Linked DNA regions of Caenorhabditis elegans. The protein of the gene in region 1 interacts with the protein of each later gene in a pairwise test. Each region holds a gene or a part of one and is shown on either strand. Other genes may lie near its edges. The genes, in order: hcp-2 and vpr-1.

Evidence for each region.
Region 2: the proteins of hcp-2 (region 1) and vpr-1 interact in a two-hybrid assay, tested with the Caenorhabditis elegans proteins (one large-scale study listed by BioGRID).

The regions. Positions count from the first base shown.
Region 1 is NC_003283.11:9,644,243-9,650,995, reverse strand, and holds hcp-2 (HoloCentric chromosome binding Protein), read right to left. Parts: upstream 5,138-6,753; 5' UTR 5,115-5,137; coding exon 5,064-5,114; intron 5,019-5,063; coding exon 4,417-5,018; intron 4,370-4,416; coding exon 3,868-4,369; intron 3,820-3,867; coding exon 3,532-3,819; intron 3,484-3,531; coding exon 2,089-3,483; intron 2,044-2,088; coding exon 1,780-2,043; intron 1,733-1,779; coding exon 1,170-1,732; intron 1,115-1,169; coding exon 892-1,114; 3' UTR 785-891; downstream 1-784. Other genes in the region: atl-1 (Serine/threonine-protein kinase ATR), read left to right, coding at 5,542-5,615, 5,663-5,764, 5,813-5,877, 5,922-6,001, 6,050-6,532, 6,578-6,753.
Region 2 is NC_003279.8:5,867,510-5,871,619, reverse strand, and holds vpr-1 (Major sperm protein), read left to right. Parts: upstream 1-1,665; 5' UTR 1,666-1,672; coding exon 1,673-1,847; intron 1,848-2,005; coding exon 2,006-2,291; intron 2,292-2,382; coding exon 2,383-2,530; intron 2,531-2,616; coding exon 2,617-2,745; 3' UTR 2,746-3,354; downstream 3,355-4,110. Other genes in the region: F33D11.10 (RNA helicase), read left to right, coding at 3,491-3,826, 3,875-4,110.

The DNA.
Region 1 (6,753 bases):
TTAATAGGTGTTGCACATCTCCTTCTTCATCTCCACAATTCAGACATTTCTTTATTTGCCTTTCTTCCAGCCGGGCTTTGTATTTCTCGACGAGGAGTGAGTGACCGCATCTTAGCCGTGCCAATTCGCATCGAGTCTCCTTTGGCAGCGTCCTCTCGTCCCTGTAGTTCACTCTTGGTGGAGGTTTGTTGAGAATTTTGTTGTTTGGTGCATTCCTGATGAAGTCCGCTACCAGCTTCGTGTGATTCTTCTTTTGGGCCTCCGTCTTGTCGCCTGGGATGTTGTCGAGTCTGAGCTTTTCAGAGTCCGATAGCTTCAGCGGCGGGATCCTTGGCGGTTTAGAGGTTCGTTCCAGTTGGCGCTTTGCTTCCAGGTCTCTGCACGGGTGCGTGTTTGACTTGATCGCTGCCAAGTACATCTGTTGCGTCGAGAGCTTATATTCTTCTTTCAAAGGGAGAACTCTGCATTCTTGGTAGATGTGGTCCGTCGGCGTGTCCTTCGTTAGTCCAACTCATAACTCCAATCTTGTTGCCGTTGTTATTTTGTTGTGGCCGTCTTGTCGAAGGAAGGGGAGGAGCCTAGTCAACAAGGTAGATCAAAAATAAATTATGAGAAATTTGTGCGATCGTATTTTTTCGATAATATCACGGTCAATTTTTTAAATGATAATCAAACAAACTCAATATAATCAATGATCTGTATTTTTTCGGATTTAATTAATCAATTCAATGCATCAAAGAAGAAGACTATGTAATATAAAAGCACAATCATCTAAATTTAAATTCACATAAAGACATTTATTCTGACCCGGAAAGACATTCACAGTTGAGTAGTGCGCGGAAATACGTAATGGCACACAAAAAGTAAAAATAAATAAAATACGAGTTCAAATTATTGCTGGTTGCAGTTTGAGCGGTTCGCCTTCTTCGACGGCGTTTCAACTGCAGTTGTTTCTTGAAGATGATCATCTGGATGGAGTACCGTAGATGACGTGATAGCATCTGGCGAATGGGAAAACTCTTCTTGGAACGAATCCTGAGCATCTTCGAACTTGTCCTCAACAACAGGCTCTGGTGGCTCCGCATGAGAATGTTCACGACTCAGCGGCTTCACTCTGAAATATCAAAGATTTACATATCTGAGTTTTGTCGAAAATCATGGAGACTTACCCAAGTCTGGCCTGTTGAAGGAGTCCCATTACTTTTGGTGGTTTCTTGATTCCTTTCAATTGCTTTATCTCAGATTGAAGCTTCGAGATGGCATCCTTCAGCTCTCGTTCAACGTCGTCGAAATCGTCACACACCTTCTCGAGTCGTACAATCTCCTTCTGGGCTCTTCCCAGTTGCTCCTCAAGTTCCGCTATTTTGGATAGTGCTTCTTCTAGAGCCGCTGATTGCTCGTTCTTCTCTTCCTGGATCACAGTTATATCATGCTGAGCTTGCTGCTCCACTTCAACTGCGTATTTGTCCGATGCAACCAGCTTCTCATTCATTTGTTGAAGTTGTACTTGTAACTGAGACAACGATTCAGTCAGTGTACCGACATTCATGGCTTGGGTCTTCCAAACATTCGATGCTTCAAGGCGCTCCTCGAACTGCTGAGACATCGCTTCGATTCGAGCTTGGAGAGTGATAATCTCTTTTTCTTTCTGAGCAATCATTTGTTCAGCATGACCAAGCTGCTCTTTGTCTGCGGAAACAGTTTGGTTGAACTCGTTTTGAAGTGATGTCCTCTGAAAAGAAATAAATTATGTTCTGTTCGAAATTCGAAAGAATATACCTCTGTCTCAAAGTCTTGCTTCAGCTTTACCATTGCCTCATTCGCCTCAGATATCTGAATGTCTTGTTGATGTTTGACGTCTTCTACATCTTGAAGAGCCTTCTGTGCAAAGGAGATGGAAGCTTCAAGCTCTTCGATACGAGCAGCAAGTTCATTTGACTGGGAACGGGATGTTTCCGTGGAATGTTGAGCCGATTTGAGCTCGTCGAGAGTCAATTGAAGCTGCTCCTGCTGATCACGATGTTTCGATACTTGAGCGATTAGCTGAAAAACAAGTTTAATTCGACTGAAATCTTAAGGAATTTAAACCTCTTCTTCTCTTCTCTGAACTTTAGCTTCGGATACTTCTAGGCTCTTTTTCAGTTCTTCCATCCCTTCAAGAGCATCCCCAAGCTTCGCATTCAGTTCATCAACCATTTCCTTGTTCATTATCTTAGCTCCAATCAGTTCTTCCTTAACATTTTCCACTTGGGATTCTCCGACGACGAGTTTATGTTGAAGCTCTTCTAGTTGAGATGCCAACGCCACCATATCCCTCTTGTGACTAGAATTTAGTTTTTCATTCAGAGATTCGAGAACTTCAGCATTTTGTTTGAAATTTTGAAGGTCCAATTGAAGTTGTTTTATCTCTTCCACAGAGCTTTGTTGAAGATCTTGAGCAGACTTTTCCGTATCTTCAATTTTCAACTTCAGCGTATCCACCAGTCTCAGAAGACCATCTTTTTCTTGAACTGCAGCATCAACCACTGATCGAGAAACTTCTTGTGATGCCGACAACTCCAGTTGAAGGGCTTCGAAAGATTCTTTTAAAACCTCACTCTCCATCACTTTCTGACGAGCATTACTGACTTCTATCTTGAGCATCTCCAGAGAGACCTGCAATTCTTGATTCGTACTTTCTGCAGAGTGCAATTTTTCCTTCAAATCATCAATCAATGATTCCTGTTGATTCTTCAGATCTAGAATTTGTTCTTCAGAGGAGGCCAAATCAGAGCGAAGTTTTTCGTTGGTTTCCTCTGCTTGCCGAATTTTTCTCAAATAATCTTCAAGGATGTGTTTTTGGTCTGCGGCGGAATCTGACTGCACTCGAACTTCAGCTTGGAGAGAATCAATAGAGGATCTCAGCTCAATAACTTCTGCTTCCGTCGACATCAACTTGCTCTGAATCTGGTACTTTTCTTCTTGATGTCGAGCCGATTCCTGGTGCATGACTTCAGAAGTCTCGCGAAGAGATACAAGTTGCTGAATTTGTTCCTCCTTCAATTGATCACGAAGCTTCTGACAATCTTCTTGAACAATTTCTAGCTTCTTGAGCTGTGAACTTCCAGTTTTTACAGCTTCTTCTTGTGCCAACTCCAATTCTTTAATTCTTATTTCCGCCTCTTCCAATTCAACTGATGTTTCATGTTGAATTTCTTCTAGTTCCAGTTGAAGACTGCAAACTTTATCCACCGAAGCCTTATATTCTCTTCGCATTGTTTCCAACTCAGAGACTGTGTTTTCAAGAGCAAGCGAATACTCATTTTGTGTAGACTCCGAATCCATTAGAAGTTTATCGCTGGCCTCAGAATCTTGACGAAGAGACTCAATGGTAGTCAATAGTTCACTGATTCGAACATCTTTATCTTCCGCTTTACGATGTGCATCGTTTAGCTGACCTTCCATGTCCACCAATTTTGCATTTTCGACGCGAAGGCTATTGATCTGAAATAAGAAATATAGTGCAATTATTTCTAAACTCGAACTACGAACCTGTTCCAGGAGTTCACCGTTTTTCTGAACAGCTTCCCCAATTTCTGACGTGGCTTTCTCTTTCACTTCTACGAGCTCTGACTGAAGTTCAAGCATTTTTGAAGTCAAATTGCAACAGTCAATTTTGAGATCATCGAGAGTCTTCTGAAGTTCTTCCAGTTCAGTAGTATCATTCTTCGGTTGAAGAGCAGACATTTCATTCTCAAGACGATGGATTTCATCCAACATCAGTTTACGAACAATTTCATGTTCCGACTTCAGAGTTTCAATTTCAGAGTTGGAGAACACCTAAGAAAAAATATAATTAATTTTCAGGCAAGATATTAACTGCATTACCTCTTTGTTGATCGTTGTCTCCAATTCCACATACTTCATCTGTAGTGTCTCAATGTCTTCCTTAGCCTTTTGCAGTTGTTCATCAGCCTCCTCTTTCATTTCTTGCAACTCCACAAACTTTTTTTCGTAGTCCTCAATGCTGTGTTGCATGACATCAACCTTCAGTGCTTTGTCAGTAAGCTCTTCACAACGACTCTTCAACTCTTCCAACTGATGTTCAAACTGTAGTTTCTCTCCGTTCGGCTCCGTTAATTTCATCTCGAGCTCTTCAATCCGTTTCTCAAGAAGTTGTTCCAGAGTTTTTGCAGCTTCGCGCTCAGATTTCGTCTTTTTTACAGCCTCCTCCACTTGTTGCATGAGCATTTTCTCTTCAACTTCACGAGCTTCTTTAATTTCAACAAGAGTTTGTCTATGTTTCTCTCCAAGAAGTTCAATTTTCAATTGAAGATCTTTAACGACTTCATCATGCTCGATATTTTTCTCCAGCATTTCGAATTCATATCTGAAATAAACAATTTAACAATGGGAATAAATTTAAATTAATCTTACAAAGAATATTCAATTCTCGATTTTTCATGCTGAGATGTTGACTGAACTGACTCTACAGAAGTTGACTGCACAACCTCACTCTCGATTGGAATTTTCGAACGAAGTGGGGAAGGAGCAGTTGGTGTACTTTCGTCTCCAACTTGTGTCTGGCTCCGAAGTGGTGTTGACGGAGTATTCTCTAGATCTTGAATCGTTGCTTGTTGGAAGAAGTCGTTCGCCAGTGTGACGTCACCATCAGTCGCAAAACTCTCGTCAGCAATGCTACAGTCTTTGCTGATGCTGTCTTCACTGTAAACCTTCGTTTGTTCCAAATTAGGATCGACATCATGAGCTGAGGAAGCTCTTGGCGGTTCACAGACACTGTTATCATCAACGGAGGTATTTGGCGGGGCGAGTGTGGAAAAATTGGAGATTGAAGAATCATCAAGAATAGAGTCGGAGGTACTGGTAGACGAATGGCGCGAGTCTGGCTCAATGCGAGTTTCTTCAAGATTTCCATCGGCCAAATTCATAGCAGAACGCCCGAAAAACCTTTTCGATTCCTTTCCGAGACGCGATTTCGGTGTCGCAGCAGAAAACGGAGATTCAAGCTGTTGTCGCTTCTGAAATTGTTTTGCTTTTGATAAATACAAAAATATTTAATTTACCTTCCCAGTTGCAGGCTTGTTTTCATCGCCGTCGTTTGTACTTTCCTCCATATTGAATTTGATCAAATTCGTCTGAGAATTTACGATAATGAGTTGGGGAATTGCACTATTGAAAAAAACAGTCCACGTTTAACGAAATAAAACGAAGTGAATCTGGAACTTCACGAGAAAATAATAATTTTCAACAAAACAATACAAAAACTGGAGCAATCGTTTAAAATTTCGCGCCGTTTCAATAGGGCGAGTTTGTATTTGCAATGCAAATTCGAATATATTCGATCCAATCGAACTCTATATTTTGCTTAATTTTTTTTGCGGAAGGAATTTATTTTTAAACTTTGTTCGTTTCCTTATTTTTAGTAAGTATTAGTGAATTCTTCATAATATTATCACAAAAACGTTAGCAATATATTTTAAATATTGTTAAATATCCATCGAACCACTGAAATAACGTGCGCAGGCTTTCAGATATTTGGGAATGAATATCGATAAGGATGTTTCAGCTCTGCTATGTACGGCGAAAAAATATGTGACGCAGAAAGAATTCAACAGGTATAATTATTAAATCTTATCTTAACTTTTTTATTTTACATTTTCAGACAAAAAATGAAATTCTTGTTAGATGACATAACTAAATTGTTATCGAAATCTTTCGTTTCCCGAATCGAGCAGTTAGACGAAAATGAGTTCATGGAAAAGATGTGAGTTGGAAAATGTAGAAGATGATGATTATATTTATGTTTTTTCAGAATGATCCTTCAGAGTATAACATTTACATTACATTTAATAACAGAGAAGCAGGAACTTTCTTCAGGTAGAAAATACAATTTAGTATTTGTATTAATATATTCGTTCCAGAGGAAAAAATAAGATTATTTCAATCAGTGATTGCGTCGATGTGTGCCTTTGAGGATGAAGAATTGGCAAAATGTTTTGACGTTAGCAAGAATTATATTCAATAATTCAATGTTTTTTATTTATTTCAGCGAATTCTATCAGTACTGATGATCTCTGTGACGAAACAAGACCCGAGAGAAACTATTTATTTCCTGCAAGGATTACTGGAAGTTGTTAAATATTGTGACGTCGAACCTTCGTCTTCTCTGCCACAATTAATCACTCCTGAAATTGCTTCAGCTATTTCATTAGGTGCCTCAGGATTTTTTAGATATCATTTGAAGTGGAATATCATTTCAACTTTATTCGGAGAAAACGCAGGAGAATGCGTTCATTTCGATGAATTGGTTCTGTTTTGGCCTCACTGCCGATCACAGTTGGAAGACAAACTGAAAAATGATTGCTCGATGACCGAAAATTGCTTGCGTGCTGGATTGACAATCTTAAAATATAAAAAACTGCACAATTCTATTCTTGATCAGGCCCTGTTCATTGATGAACTGTTTGCCACATTTAACTCATTAACTGCGAAGAAGTCGACCAATCACATGACGTTTCCAAAGCTATTGAATGTAATTTCATTTTTATACTTCGAATGTATAATTTATCAATTTCAGGAGATACAACACTTTCTACAGGATCATGGCAAAGTTTTGATTATGCATAAAGAACTTCGACAAAAACCAGTTCAATGGCTCATAATTTATTTAGAGTTAATCGATGATGCAAATGACAAGTTTGGACTACTAGAAAACTTTTCCTTGTTGTTGTTAGATTTATCGACAAACCATGA
Region 2 (4,110 bases), on another chromosome or scaffold:
TTCCATGTGTTTGTGTATATTTCTTCTATTAGCACATTAAAAGAACAAAAATCATTGTGTAAATAACCCCGATTGATTGATAGTTGGAGCCAGTTGTCCTTCTCCCCCTCTTATGTTTCCGATGAGTGTGTGATACGGGAAATATCTGTGTTGTCATGGAGAGTTCTCACATCCGGACGGCAGGAAAACAGAGAAACTAAGTCTAAAGCAGTACCAAGCCGAGGTGCTCTAATTGCGTCTGCACTCTCTCTCTTCCATTCAAATTCGCCGTCCTTTGCACTTTGTTTACGCAGAAGAGGACGTCTTTTTCATTCTAAAAGTCTTCTGTTTCTAGCTTCATCAGATATACATACTGCGACTTGTTAATATTCTTCATATGGATCAAATCTTCCGCTGACGCATAAGGCTATTAACTCAACTTTTTCAATTTCCGTCTCAATCTTTTTCATAAATGAGCTCAAATAATGATTTCAATCAGAGTGAAATTTTAAATATCGAACATTTCTAAACTGCAGCTCTTCTCGTTTTTCAAAAAAAGGTTCAATTGTCTGTTGTTTTGACTTGGAGGTTAATTTATAGGCTCCTGGGGAATACAAAAATTAAGATTTTATTGCATAGAACTGCCTTAGCTTAATCTTCTCTGAGTGCATTTTGCACATTCTACCAGCAAACATCTCATCCTAATTTATTCCATCTTCTTCTCTTATCCCATCGTTTTTTCTTCACGATGCTTGTGTTTTTTCGGTGCCTCTTTCGTCTCCAACAACGTGTTTCTCCTTCTCCAGGACAGCCATTTTCGCTCACACTCGTCCTCCCCTACCAAACGCACACACACACATCGCTCACACGTACACTCACACACTCGAATTATAAGTCAACGAGAGGGAAGAGACGTAGATACACTTTTCCTTCTGCGTCTATTATCTCTTACGCATCTCTCAGGACAACATTTTTTGAAAAACGTGTGCGCTCTCCACGTCTCACCCGAATTCATGTCATCTGACAGCGTTTCAGAATAATTTTTCAATATAATTTGTTATTTTCTCGAATTGGTTCAACCTTTGTTCAATACTGTGCAGTTTTGGACTTATTCGTTGTTAAAATATAGGAAATAATATTATTTTTTTGTTGTGTTTTTCATGTATCGGGTCATCCATCAGTTGCATCTCTACTTTTCTCTCCCCGATTATCAATTGACAAACGTTCAATTACTGGCTGAACAACGTTTTTGATGCCTTTCTGTTTAAATTTTGTTTATGACCTGTGTTGAATACACTCGTCCATATTTTTTTCAAATTTCAAATTCAAGATTATTGAAGACTGTATTTAGAAAGATAGACAAGCATTTGTATAACTTCTACACGATTTCGATTTTTTTTTCGTTTTTCGTTTTGCCAAGAGCAAATACGCTTGCCTCTAGGCACTAAGCACTGGCCAAAACTCAAGAGAAACTGATAACGCTAGAACATACACTGCGACTTTTTCATTTTATAGCTTTTTCGAAATTGCAAATCGAAAAAATATTCGTTTAGTGTTCGGTTTTGTGATGTACGTAAATACCAATAGAAAAAAAACAATTTTTAATTCTTTCGCCTTGATCCAAACTTCCTATCAATCTTTATTTTTTAACATAATTATTTTATATGAACTAACTTTTTTTTTCAGCAAAAAAATGTCTGAAAAGCACAGTCTTCTGCAAGTGACTCCAAATCGTGAACTCGTGTTCACTGGCCCATTCAGTGATGTTGTCACATCACACATGACTCTCAAGAACACATCAACCAATCCAGTGTGCTTCAAAGTGAAAACAACGGCTCCAAAGCAATATTGTGTTCGTCCAAATTCTGGTGAGTGATGGATTTATTTGCATTGAAATCAATTTGATATGGAAAAAGTGAAATTAAACGCAAAAAGAAAAATATGATTTGTATTTAGACCTTATCTGTTAGACTGGTTGATTTTTAAAACTGAAGTTTACTTTGACCTTCTGATTTTGATTTTTTAGGCCTCCTGAAATCTGGTGACTCGAAACAAATCACAGTAATGCTTCAACCTCTGGAAGGAATTCCATCTGATGCAGGACGACATAAGTTTATGGTTCAATCGTGTGTGGCGCCTTCGGAAGATCTGCCAGATTTGGAATCGGTCTGGAAAATAATCGATCCAGCGGAGCTGACCTACAGCAAGCTTATGGTCACCTTCGTTGACAAGAGAGATCCAGCGTCTGGAGATGATACAAAAACCTTTGCGGTTAGGAACGAGGATAGTTTTGCTTCTTCTGGACAGGCACAGTGAGTTTTTACTTATAATGGAGGTTAAAAGAAGGTTAACAATTATTGTTTCCTTCATAAACTTCATTCAATAAAAAACTAATATTTGCAGAGAGCTCGGAAGTTCGTACTCTGGAACACCATCGCATGATGGAACCGTTAACTCCCTTCGCAAATCGTTGAAATCGACAGTTGACGAGAAAGAAGAATTGCAAAAGAAAGTACATGGATTGGAACAAGAAATCGAAGTCATGCTCAAGGTAATATCAGAAAAGAAATTTGAAAAAATTAATTACACTTTGGAAAAAAAAATATGTGTTCAATTTTCTACAAAAAATATTTTCAGAAGAACCGCAAGCTTCAACAATCGCATTCTGATGGAGCTCTTGTCGACGGTGCATACCCAACATTGCAAATTTTCCTTATTGCGGTTGCCGCTTTGCTCATCGGGCTTATTGTTGGCCGTCTTTTCTAAATTCTGAATCAATTCTTCCTTCATTTTCACTTTTAAGTAACTAGTGGTACTATCATTCACGTGCTTTTTTGCTGCCACAAACATTAAAACACACAAGCATTGCTCCATTCGGATTTTCATCAAATTTAACCTTCAAATCCTAAATTTTCTAACTTTTTCTCTGCCAAGGGCGAAATTCTGAATATTTCAAAAATCAAAATGTTATTTTCTGCAATGTAAATTGACATATTTAACTTTTCGGTTTTTTGAAATTTTGAATACTTGCCTCTTTAGTGAACGCAGCGCGCAAAAATTTCAAACTTTTTCTCAAACTACTTTCACTTCTTTCCTTTGTTTATTCGTTTTCCGTTTTTCCCGGCGTCTTCTAGACCATCATAGATCCGTCTAGTGACTGCCTATCATCATACCCGGTAGCCATTATCAAGAATTTTATTTATTTATTTTCCATTCTATGGTTCCCCGTTCCCCCAACCTTTTCTCATTTATTTTATGTGTACAACCATTGATTGATATAGGACTCCATGGATTTTAAGAAAGCCCCATGCTCTTTGAAACAACCAATTTAAGTCACATGATTTGTATATGGTACAATAAAATTTGATGTTTATGGTTTCCAATAACTATTTTTATTTTTGAATTTTTTCGCCGTATTATCTCGGAGTATTTACCTGGAAATTTACGCGACTCGACAATAAAATGTCACTCGAGTGATGTTTAAAATTAATCTTTTTTCAGATTTTCCAAAATGGCTGGTAAAAAAGCAGAAAAAGATGATATGGCAACAGTGGAATTCGAATCTTCTGAAGAAGTAAATGTTATTCCAACATTTGACAAAATGGGTTTGCGAGAAGACCTTCTTCGTGGAATTTATGCCTATGGATTCGAAAAACCATCGGCTATTCAACAAAGAGCAGTTCCAGCAATTCTTAAAGCACGTGACGTCATTGCTCAAGCTCAATCTGGAACCGGAAAGACTGCGACTTTTTCAATTTCCGTTCTTCAATCATTGGATACACAAGTTCGAGAGACACAAGCACTTATTCTTTCTCCAACCAGAGAATTGGCTGTCCAGATTCAAAAAGTATGGATATAATAAATACAGAGTTGCAATAAAAAACACATTTTGCAGGTAGTTCTTGCTCTCGGAGACTATATGAATGTTCAATGTCATGCCTGTATCGGAGGAACAAATCTCGGAGAAGACATTCGCAAATTGGATTACGGTCAACACGTGGTTTCTGGTACTCCAGGACGAGTATTTGATATGATTCGCCGTCGTAATCTTCGTACCCGAGCGATCAAGCTTCTGGTTCTTGACGAAGCCGATGAAATGCTGAATAAAGGTTTCAAGGAGCAGTTGTACGA